Linked DNA regions of Callithrix jacchus. The protein of the gene in region 2 interacts with the protein of the main gene of each other region in a pairwise test. Links are inferred from orthologs where the notes say so. Each region holds a gene or a part of one and is shown on either strand. Other genes may lie near its edges.

Region 1 (4,286 bases), about 33 Mb from region 2:
GGTGTCGGTCATGCACCCTGGCCCCTGCATATCTGGCACCAGGGTGGGGATCCAAGAGGAGGCAGGATGGGGGCTCTTGGGCCTCCGGGCTTCCCTGGAGAGTGAGAGTTGGGAGCACCCCTTGCCACAGGTAAACTGAGACTTAAAAAGGTAAATGTCCACAGTCTTACCACGGTAATTGGTAGAGTCAGGATTTAAACCCAGGCCTCACAGTCTTACCCCAGTAATTGATAGAGCCAGGATTTAAACCCAAGCCTGAGGGGCCCCAGAGCCCTGTCCACTTCACCATGCTGCAACCTGGGTTAGGAATCCACGTCCTGAGTTTTTGTAAGCCATGGGGCCAGGTCCAGAGGGCCGAGCCACACCTCCAAGTGGCATTGCCCACAGGTATCAGGTGTCCCTGGAAAGGTTTTCCTGAGCTGGTGGCAGAGAAAAGGGCTCTCCTGAGTGTTCAACTCCCCCATCTGTGTGAAGTGATGCCTTGGTCTTTGAGATCTCCAGTGTCTTCCAGCCTGCCTGCCAGCCTCTTGTCCTTCCTTCCACAGCACTCAGGTACATAGAGCCTTCTGCAGTGGCTCCTCCCCAGCCAGCACTTGACAGGACAGATGGGGGCTAATCTGGCCCTGCTAAGCAGTGACATGCCTCTCTTGGAGAAGGCAGGGGCTTCCTGGAACTCGCCCCAGCCTTATCAGCGGAGGTTTGCCCCAACGCATCCCAGAATCGAGCAAAAGTTCAGCGACGTGCAGCTGGCAGGTGTCGGGATCATCAATCATCCCCTTGTCAACCCTGAGCCTGCTGGGCTTTTGTGAGCGTGCCAGGGACACAGGCTGGAGGCTGGCAGGAGGGGAGTAGGGGTGGGAGGAGGAGAGTCCCTCTCCCACACCAGGGAAGGGACAAATGCTGGCTCCTCTGGTCACTTCAGCTGGACCCTGGCTTCTGTCCTCTACTTGCCCCCAGAGACGCTGCATTCCCATTCCCAGAGGCCTCCTCACTCACTCACTCACTCACTCACTCACTCACTCACTCACTCACTCACAGGATTTCGAGTTGGATAACACAGCGTAATGATTGGGAAGTGGTAACTCCCAAACTGAGAACACAGAGCTGTCCCCTTGGGGAAAAGCTCAGGGCTCGGGGCAGTGGACAAGTCCAGCTGAGGGCACAGTTGGCCTGAGCTGCTCTCTGTACAGGCAGAGGCCTTGGTAGCCGTTCGCTCCCTGTTGCTCTCTTCTGGCATGGAGAGATGAACCTGTAATCCAAGTGTTAAAACGGTGCCCTGGGGGAAAACACCATTAATTCTGAATCATCTCTTTTGTTGCATTAGAAAAAAAACAGAAGAGAAAAACTTCACAGGAGCCACTCAGGGTGTGCAGGCAGCTGTGTTTGTCAGGAAGGCAGAAGGAGTTGGCTTTGCTTTGGGGGAGGAGACCAGGTCCCACAATACCCTTAGAGGGGTATATAAGGAGCCCCAGCTGGGGGGTGGCAGATGCCCTGCTCTGAGTGCAGCCTGGCCCGGCACCTCCTGCCAGCATCTCTTGGGCTTGTTGAGAACTCACTGGCACTGGCTACCTGGCCATGACCACCACATTTCTGCAAACTTCTTCCTCCATGTTTGGGGGTGGCTCTATCCAAGGGGGTTCCCTCCTGGCGAGGGGAGGGGGCTTTGGTGGGGGGAGTCTCTATGGGAGAGGTGGAAGCCGAAGTATCTCAGCTTCTTCTGCTAGGTTTGTCTCTTCAGGGTCAGGAGGGGCATATGGGGGTGGCATGAGCAGTGGCTTTGGCGGAGGGGCTGGTAGTGGTTTCAGTGGAGGCTTTGGAGGTGGCATTGGTGGGGGTTTTGGTGGTGGCTTTGGTGGTGGCGATGGTGGCCTCCTCTCTGGCAATGAGAAGATCACCATGCAGAACCTCAACGACCGCCTAGCCTCCTACCTGGACAAGGTTCGTGCCCTGGAGGAGGCCAATGCTGACCTGGAGGTGAAGATCCGGGACTGGTACCAGAAGCAGGCCCCGACCAGCCCAGAACGTGACTACAGCCACTACTTCAAGACCATTGAAGAGCTCCGGGACAAGGTGAGTCCTCAGATGTCAAAGAGAGGGGAGCAGGTGGCTGGCGCCCTGCACATGCCTCTAACGTCAGTGTCGCTGCTGACTCGAGAAAATCCTTTCCTGCCCAGGCAACGACTGTCTGGTGTGTAGCCTCAGCAAATTTGGAATGCACCTGCTGTCCAGTGCAGAGGCTGGTGTTGGGGGAGGGAGGGAGGGGTCTTGGGAATCTGGTTAGGACCAACGGGGGCACAGTTGGGGGCAATTGTAAAGAGCAGCTTGCCGGGTGCAGTGGCTCACACCTGTAATCCCAGTGCTTTGGAGGCCAAGGTGACAGGATTGTTTGTGCCCAGGAGTTAGAGTCTCAGTGAGCTGTGGCTGTGCCATTGCACTCTGGCCTAGCTACAGAGTGAGAACCTGTCTCTAATTAAAAAATAATAATAATAATAATTAAAACGAGCAACTCACCCTGCCTACCTCATGTACGCTGCAGGCTTCTGCATAAAGTATTTCTTTATCTCTTTGGCAAGAAAAGGATTGGAGTGCAGCCTCATGAGTCCCAGATGCCTCTTGTGTTTTCCTGTAAAGAGGGCTTTTGTGCTAAAAGTACTGTTGGGCTTCAGAGACCTGGGAACCCATTACCCATTCTGCCACCCACTCACTCACCGTTTTACTCCCTGAGACTGGGTTCCTCATTGGCAAAATGCCTTCTTTAGCTGCCCTCTAGGTTGCCACTGGCTGGAATGTTCTGCAGATCCATGGCTGTGTCAAGGTGTGCAGGAGGCAGTGGCCATGACTTGGTCCACGGGGGGGCTGGTGGAGTGTCTCTGAGAGGGTCATTGTCAGAGCTGACTACACCTCACTCTTCACTCTCTGGGGCTACCAATTCCCATAGGCAGTACTGCCTCCTTGGTCTTTCATGCCCTGGAGACAAGGAGGGCAGCTCCTCAGGTGTCTCAAGGAGGCTGGCATGTGGCAGAACAAGAAATGGACACTCAAGATGAGGCTGGACTCTGCCCACCCCAGAGGCCCTACAGATGTTTGCTGGTGGTGACTGTTAGTGAGGGGCTGGCTTTGGGTGCAGAGCAGAGAGCAGCAGGGGAGAGAGAGGAGTCCTCTAGGCACCAACTCTGTCTCCTGCAGATCATGGCCACCACCATTGACAACTCCCGGGTCATCCTGGAAATCGACAACGCCAGGCTGGCTGCGGACGACTTCAGGCTCAAGTGCGCTCCCTCCTCCCTCAACTCTTCCTGCATTGCCCACTTTCCTTGGTCTTCTCCTGGCTCTGACTCAGGCGGCCCAGACCCCTCCCACTTCCTTTTTTGGCCTCCCTCTCTCCTCTCAGGTATGAGAATGAGCTGGCCCTGCGCCAGGGCGTGGAGGCTGACATCAATGGCCTGCGCCGCGTGCTGGATGAGCTGACCCTGGCCAGAACTGACCTGGAGATGCAGATCGAGGGCCTGAATGAGGAGCTGGCCTACCTGAAGAGGAACCACGAGGAGGTGAGAGGTGGCCCCCATCATCCCTGAACCTGAGAGAGGTGGGGAACCTCTTCCCAAAACGCACTTAAATTGCCCAGAGGGAACGACTTTGGCTCCAGGAAGCCCTCCCAGATTTTCCCAAGATTAAGTTGTGGGAGGCAGAGTGGGGCTGCCGGTGCTTCCTCATAGTTGGCCTGGGGCTTAGTGGTTCAGAAACACCCCCCTTGCCCCCAACCAGGTATCCTCATGGAGAGGAAGGGGCACTGTTCCCTAGTAGCCCAGACCACAGCCAAGCCGGGTGGCTAGTATGAATGGCTATCTTCCTGACTGGCTTTGTGAGCTCACATCAGGGGCCTGCCATCTCGGGGTCCTCCCTTGGTAGGACCTAGAGCAGCAGAGAGCTCCTCGGAGCTGAGGGGTCCATGAGACCAAACCTCTTCGTGTGCAATGGGGAACAGCGGTTGGGGTGTTAGGGGAAGAGCCAGGATTGGCATGTGGGAATGCAGACTCTCAGGTCTCTCTTCTGTTCTCCATCTCTAAATGGGCCCCTTCCACCCTGCAGGAGATGAAGGAGTTTAGCAACCAGCTGGCCGGCCAGGTCAACGTGGAGATGGACGCGGCACCGGGCGTGGACCTGACCCGCGTGCTGGCGGAGATGCGGGAGCAGTACGAGGCCATAGCGGAGAAGAACCGCCAGGATGCTGAGGCCTGGTTCTTCAGCAAGGTGGGCCTGACCCTTGCCCTGCCCTGCCCTGCCCT
Region 2 (2,792 bases):
CTTTGTGTTGAGTGTCAGGACTCTGGCTCTGTGCCAGCAATGAGCACATCTGCCCTCAGCCTCTGCCCTGCCTTGTTCCCAATGTCCCGCATGGCTCCTGAGCAGTGGCACCTGCTGTTGTCAGGGATGCTGACCTGCAGTTTGTCTCTGCCCCCAGATGTGGACAGTGGCTACTACACAGTCAAGTTTGACTCGCTGCTGCTGAGGGAGGCCGTGGTTGAGGGGGACAGTGTCCTTCCCCCGCTGCGCACAGAGGCCACAGAGTCCTCCGACTCAGACAGCGATGGCACGGGCGACTCCAGCTATGCCAGAGGTATGGCAGCAGCTGAAGGGCCCAAGAGGCAGGAAGGTGGGGTCACCAACCACTGCAGAGTGTGGACTACAGCGAGGCTGCTGTGCTCAGCACAGGTGGCAGCTGTGCCTGGGGAGGCAGTGTGGGGTCAGGGTGCAGGAGCATGAGTGAAGGCCGGGGTAGATCCATTGTGACCTTTGACTTGAAGGAGTGTGAGGGTGCAACAGCTACAGCCTCACTGATGGGAGGCCGTGGCCGTGGGAGGAGGGGCCTAGAGTTCCCAAGGAAGTTACAGAAATGACCAACTGCTGGGGCCTGGAGTGCAAGAGGGACAGCTTCTTTGAAAGGCTTCTCAGACTTGGGACCTGGGTACCCGGTGGAGCCTAGCAGACAGAGGTTGTGTCTGGGCAGCTAGAGTGGAAGTTTCGGGACTGGGAACTGGTGGGCAGTGTCCAGCTCTCCAGAGTGGTCAATTAGACAGGGAGGTGTACCCAGGGATCAGTGATGTGAGTTGGTGACTTCTGAAGCCCCATGTTCCCATTGAAGGAGGAGTTGACCGAGGACTCTGAGGGCAGGTAGGAGCTCATGGCCCCGCAAAGGCGGAGAAGGGCAGGGGCAGGAGAGGGCTGTAAAGGAAGGGCCACGGTGCACCAGGCCATGGGGACTGCCACGAACTCTGCCTGGTGTCACATGCCCACAGCAGACCTCGGTGACAGAGTGCAGAGCCCAAGAGGTGGGGTGTTGGGGCTCTGCCCAGGAGCTAAGCTCATGGGCCAGAGCCCCAGTCACGATGCACAGTCCTCTGGCCTGGCCCAGCCACTGCCCTCTGTCCCATCTTTTGCAGTGGTGGGGTCAGACACTGTGGACTCCGGGACCTGCAGCTCTGCTTTTGCTGGCTGGGAGGTACACACGCGAGGCATAGGCTCCAGACTCCTCGCCAAGATGGGCTATGAGTTTGGCAAGGGTGAGTGCCCGCTTTCCTTGAGAGGTGGGGGTTGGCTGCAGCACAGCTGGGGTCCCACAGCACACAGCAATACCATCCCCTCAGGTTTGGGCCGACACGCCGAAGGCCGGGTGGAGCCCATCCACGCCGTGGTGCTGCCTCGAGGGAAGTCGCTGGACCAGTGTGCAGAGATCCTGCAGAAGCGGACCAGGGTTGGCAAGGCTGGCACCAAGCCCCCCAGATGCCGCAGAAGAGGGGCCAGGGCTGGGGGCCGCCTACCCCCGCGGAACGTGTTTGACTTCCTCAATGAAAAGCTGCAAGGCCAGGCTCCTGGGGCCCTGGAGGCTGGGGTGGCCCCCTCAGGGAGAAGGAGCAAGGATATGTACCGTGCCAGCAAGAGCACCAAGCGGGCCCTGAGCCTGCGGCTCTTCCAGACCGAGGAGAAGATCGAGCGAACCCAGCGGGACATCAGGAGCATCCAGGAGGCCCTTGCCCGCAATGCTGGCCGGTATGTGTGGGGCAGAGGGCAGCCCAGGGTGGCCATGCCTCCAGTACACGTGCGGGAGGTCACCTGACCCAGGTGTGGTGGGCGGAGTCCAGGAGGGGTCTGGATGTTGGAGGACGTGTGGTGGGCACGGCAGCCTGGGATTGGTGGCAGTGGCCCAGGAGCCACACTGACTGGTGGGCCCCTCCCCAGGCATAGCGTTGCGTCAGCCCAGCTGCAGGAGAAGCTGGCGGGAGCCCAGCGGCAGCTGGGGCAGCTCCGGGCTCAGGAAGCGGGCCTGCAGCAGGAGCAGAGGAAGGCAGACACCCACAAGAAGATGACTGAGTTCTAGAGACCCACAAGCACTATGGGGAAGGTGGACCCAGCGCGGGCTGCCCTCCGCACTGGAAAACCCATGTTGCCCAAGGAGGACTGGCCTGCTGGCCTGGGGCATGCAGACGCTGCTGAGTGGAGACAGGGCTGCAGGGCCCCATCTGGACAATTACCTGCCTGTCTGCCAGTGTCTTGGGCATTTCCTTGGCAAGGACATTAAAGAGTTTTCCATCACAGTGTCATTCAGTGGAGATCAGCTGGCTGCAGGGCCTCTGGGAAGAGAAGGGTCTGTGCGGGGCTGTGGTGAGAGGCTGACTGGGCTGCAGGGGCCTAGGAGGCCAGCGTTCTCTCTTCTCTGACCAAGGCGGATCAGAGGCCAGGTTGCCTGCCAGGCACAGATGGGCAGAGCTGCCTGACACCCACAGATGGGTGGAGCTCAGTGCTGCTCCAGCAGGCGAGGGTGGGAGGACTGTGGCCCACCATGTGGGGCTCTTGGTGAGGCAGGTGGACCTGGTCTGTGGGTTCTGTGCCAGCTCTACTCACCTCTCCATGTGTGGAGGGGTTGTGAGTTAGGCTCTCAACAGTGCAGGCTAGAGGCACACACGTTTCCTCTAGGCCTCGGGTAGGGTGCAACAGGTGGGTGAGGCTGCGGTGGTGGCTGCTGCCCAGGGTGGGAGGCTGCAGGGGAGGCGCTCGGAGACGTACAGGAAGTGATGAGATGGGGCGTTCAGCTGAAGGCT
Region 3 (4,293 bases), on a different chromosome or scaffold from region 2:
CCCCATGCTTGGAAGATGCTGCCCTCCATTCTTCATGCAGAGAAAAAGAGAAGGGAAAAATAAGAAAAGTACATGCACATTTCTCATTTAGGTTTTGGGATCCCTCTCCCCCTTCTGTCCCCTTGGGAGGTAGAAATAAGCAATCATGGGGACCTGTGTGGCTCTGCAGCAGGCCTGTCCACTCCAAGATGTACCCCCTTTGCTCTAGCTGCCTTGAACTGATGCCTTTCTGCAACCATCTCAAGAATATTTGTCAAACATGTTGTGAGGTATCCCCCCAAATGCCTGAAAGACGTGATCTTTCCCGAGATTTTACAACCCAGAGTACACATGTCCACAACCATTCCCCTCCTCCACCAATTACACTGTCCATAAGGTAAGGCCACCCAGAGACCTCTTCACAAATGACCCATTTGCTCAATCATCTCAGATGCAATCACTATTTGAAACAGTATTTGGCTTCCAAGTAAAACACACACACACTTTTTGTGGGAGTTTTATTAAAAATTAACAATGTCCCTGGCTATTAAGCTTCCAGAGTTTCCTTGTCCCTGGTTCCCTCCGGTGAATTTGGGAATTGCAAACTCCATGCTGAGGGGAGGACCCAGCCAGGGGAAGAAGAAATCAGCCCTGACTCTCTGGGTGGACAGGGGCCTGACTGCCCCCACTTCAGCCCAACTGACTTGTAGAGAGGCCCTGTGTAGTGGGAACTGGGACAGGGTGTGTCAGTGAAGGCTTTCTGAAGAAGGGGTTTGCACCTAGCAGACGAAGTGTCCTGGGGGCAGAGAAGAAGATTCCATGCAGGAGCCACAGAAGTGGATACAAGGGAAGGCCGCTGGCTGGCAGGGGTGTAGGGGGAGGTAAAGAAGAGACTAAAACAAGGAGCGGGCAGGTGGAAAGAGGAAGGTTCCTGGCGTCTGCCCAGTCCATCTAGGGAGCCCGGATTCTGATGGCAACGGAGGGGTTTTGAGAATGAAAACCCAAGCAGCCCCTGGTTGGTTGTCTGGTTCTTTCTGTGTGACTCTGGGCACCCTGCTTAAGCTCTCTGAGCCCTGGTGTCCTCATTTATAACACAGGGATGATAACAGAACTCCGTTGGAGGATGCTAGGCAAGGCTGGATCGCTTGACTGGGAGAAAAGCCGGCGGTGGCACACCCTGCGCTCTGCGTAAAGGGGCGCCTATTATCTTGGGGAAGAGGTGGACAGAGCGCCTGGCGGCGGGAGATTCGGTTGGGTAGATGGATCAAATTGACAGGATTTTCCAACACAGATTCACGCTTCCTGTGGAGAAGGTTCGTAAAAGAGCTGGTGAAGGTGTTTGTAAACAAAAGTGCAATTCAAAGGTTGCCGCGGGGGTGAAAGCACTGGGGGTTAGGGGAAAGAGAGGCTCGGAGGCTGGAAGTATTCACTTCTCCCGGGACAAGCTCCCAGCCCTGAGGATATAGACGTCTTTGCGGTCCTTCTTCCCTTACCCCCTCCCCCGGTTTACACACACACGCACAGCCGGAGCCTCTCCCGCAGCAACCCCGGGACAAGCGTGGCACAGCCCTTGCTGTATCGTTCCGTCGATGGGTTTCGGGATGAAGGGTGGAGAGCGGGTCGGCGACTAGGGGTGTAAGCAATAATGGGCCGAGTTGTATTAAATTGTCTCCAGCAGCTCCGATCGCAAAGCGGGGGGCAGGGGCGGACACACTGCGGCCTGGAGGGCGCTGAGTGCGGAGGAACGGAGCTCAGGGGCCGGCCCGGCGCTCAGCCAGCAGCGCCGCCTCCCGGGAGGAAGGCGGGGGACGGGAGGAGGGAGCTGGAGGAGGCGGAGGGCGGAGGAGGGCGGCGCGCTGAGAGGTTATTTGTGGTTCGCTTTGATCCCGAGGGGGAACCTGAAACTCTCACATTCCTGGCATAACAGCCGCCTCCAGCGCGGACCGACCCTGGGGCTGCGCGCTGGGGCGCGAACTGCCAGAGCGTCGGCGCCACTGCCGAGAATACATCTCCGCCGCCGAGCTGAGCAGGGCCGAGCCGGGGGTTGCAGTGTCTGACTGTGCTGGGCACCCGCGGGCCGCAGCGGTAAGGAAGGCCGCTTGGCGCTGGGGAGAGCGCGCGAGGCCACAGAGACGTGCCCCGGCCAAAGCCGGAGTCTCGGCGCAGCCCGGCCTTTTCCGGGAGTCGGAGCCCGGAGGATCGAGCGTACTCCGGGCGTAGTGCGCCCGTTCGAGGCAGCCGCAGTGCCAGGCAAGGGCCGCTCCGCCTGGGAGCCCAGCGCCCCTGGCTTTGCGGGGCTCTAGCAGCGCGCCGGTCCCCCGGGGCTGGGGGAGAGCGGAGAGGGCAGACTCTATAGAGGCGACGGTGTTTCGGGTTGCAGGTAGGCCGGGGTGGGGGTGACGGGGGACAGGCCTGGAGGCGCCGCTTGGGGTTCAATTTGCAGGGTCTCGCGGGTTGATTTGGTTAGGTGGGGGTTACAGGTGCCTTTGCCTCCAACTAGTCCAAGAATTCCTCTTTGTCTTCCTTGGAAAATCCTCTCTGGAGACACGAATTGGCTCTCACCTAGAAAGAATGCAGCCTGCTGTCCAGCCCGGTGACGTCAGCGCTGGAGTATTTGGAAAACAAAGAGGGCTCGAGAGGGAGGGAGGCGGACCCGCGATGCTTAAAGACTTCTCCGGGCCACGGGCTACCCTCACCGGCTAGCCCCAGGCGTACCCGCGACCACCGGCGATCCAGGTCCGCCCGGGGTCGTGGTGGAGCTGGAGTCCTGGCTGGGGTGCGAGAGTCTCCCGGCTTGGAGACTGTCACTTTGGTTCCTTAGGCGAGCTGGAGCCCAGGCCAAGGCAGCCGACGCGCGCTGGCTTAGACAGGCAGCCTTCAGAGAGCTCAGCGCGCTAGCGCAGCAGAGGGGCGCGGCCGGGGGCGCGGAAGCAGGTTTTAGTTAAGGCTCGGTCGTTTGGTATTTGAAAGGTCGTGAATCTGAGGGGCTTGGCCGGGACAAATTCGCGAGGCCTTGGAGATGTTCCTTGCTCCCAGTCCCCGCACACTGTGGAGCGCCCGGAATCTGTCGGGAAGGCTCCGCATTCCTTCCGGCCGCTCCCTTGCAGCCTCTGTGGGAGTCGGCCAGAGAGTAATTATCTTAAGGAAATGCCCCGAGATAAAACTCCAGAGCGAATTAAATCCCGTTTGCTTGCTTTGCCTCGGGTAGCGCCGGAGTCTTGCAATATCTACCCCTCGTTGTGTGTGGGGGCGCATGAATGGGTGCCAGGAAGGATTGGTACAGAGGTGCCCTCCAGACTCATACCCCAGTCCCCAGCTCTGGGCAGCTGGAGCCCGGGGTGGGGAGAGGGAAAGGATTGGGAATGGCTGTTCTGCCAACATACCATAACCCAAACTGAAGCAGGACACGGGCTAGTTTTGTGGCAGAGGAGGGGCCACATTCCTCCCACTCCCCACCAACCCCTGCCTGTTCACACAGGATGTTTGGCAGTATGGAGTCCGTTTAGTTTTCCCTGGATCCCAGTTTGGAGATTTGTGTTGGAGAAAGCCCAAGTCCAGATGATCTTCCTTGACACTGATGTCAAGAAAGATGCTGAAAGCCCATCCTCTGTTTGCTTAGAGGACCAGTGAGGGCTTTTCCAAGTAGCGTGTGTGCGTGCATGTGTGTGTGTTGGGGAGGATAATCATAAAAGACGTCGTGCCATCCTTTCTTTTTCCTGGAGCTCTCTTGCAGTTACCGTCAGCTCTAAGACTGACCCACTGACCTTAATGGGTGGCAACTTTCTGCCTCATCTCACAAAACCATTGTCGAGCCTTTTTATTCATCCCTTATTCAGAAATTCAGGTGCAATTCCTCCTCCTTCCTGTTCACCTTGCAGAATGACTGCCAAGGTCATCCCATGACAGGGAGTCCTGGATTCATTCTGTCAGCAGCCCTTGATGAAGCAGAGCCCAGGCCCACCCCCCAGGAGCTCTTTGGTTCTGGGAGAGTGAGAAAAGTGGGCAGGGGTTCAGTGGGCTAGAGGGTAGTAGGTTGACTGTGCCAGGGCTGGGCTCTGGCATGCTTCATTCTGGGGGGGGTCCTGGAGGACTTTCACCTAGGGCTTCTACTGGACTACATGCCTTCTGTATCACCTGCCAATAAACTGGGTCCCCACCCAGCCCTAGACTGAATAGCTAAGTGGTTAGATCTGAACTAGGCCTGCCTTGGAATTGCTCATCAGGCTGTTTGATGGGTAGGTGGCTATAGAGGCAGTGGTTCCTGGTGGATTATCTTCTGGTTTTCTTATGTCTTTCTCCAGGAATAGTAAGCCT

Evidence for each region.
Region 1: the proteins of ZGPAT (region 2) and KRT15 interact in binary tests that used the Homo sapiens proteins (3 or more experiments, as listed by UniProt). The two-hybrid records come from large-scale screens. The link is inferred for Callithrix jacchus from reciprocal best matches to the Homo sapiens genes ZGPAT and KRT15.
Region 3: the proteins of ZGPAT (region 2) and AMOTL2 interact in binary tests that used the Homo sapiens proteins (3 or more experiments, as listed by UniProt). The two-hybrid records come from large-scale screens. The link is inferred for Callithrix jacchus from reciprocal best matches to the Homo sapiens genes ZGPAT and AMOTL2.

What each region holds. Positions count from the first base shown.
Region 1 is NC_133506.1:91,737,683-91,741,968, forward strand, and holds the start of KRT15 (keratin, type I cytoskeletal 15), read left to right. Parts: upstream 1-1,484; 5' UTR 1,485-1,575; coding exon 1,576-2,070; intron 2,071-3,186; coding exon 3,187-3,269; intron 3,270-3,391; coding exon 3,392-3,548; intron 3,549-4,089; coding exon 4,090-4,251; intron 4,252-4,286.
Region 2 is NC_133506.1:59,226,013-59,228,804, forward strand, and holds the end of ZGPAT (zinc finger CCCH-type with G patch domain-containing protein), read left to right. Parts: intron 1-157; coding exon 158-313; intron 314-1,136; coding exon 1,137-1,256; intron 1,257-1,340; coding exon 1,341-1,743; intron 1,744-1,932; coding exon 1,933-2,071; 3' UTR 2,072-2,286; downstream 2,287-2,792. UniProt on the Homo sapiens protein: Transcription repressor that specifically binds the 5'-GGAG[GA]A[GA]A-3' consensus sequence. Represses transcription by recruiting the chromatin multiprotein complex NuRD to target promoters.
Region 3 is NC_133518.1:49,808,354-49,812,646, forward strand, and holds the start of AMOTL2 (angiomotin-like protein 2), read left to right. Parts: upstream 1-1,491; 5' UTR 1,492-1,614; intron 1,615-1,873; exon of another isoform or gene 1,874-2,359; intron 2,360-2,673; exon of another isoform or gene 2,674-2,715; intron 2,716-4,293. UniProt on the Homo sapiens protein: Regulates the translocation of phosphorylated SRC to peripheral cell-matrix adhesion sites. Required for proper architecture of actin filaments.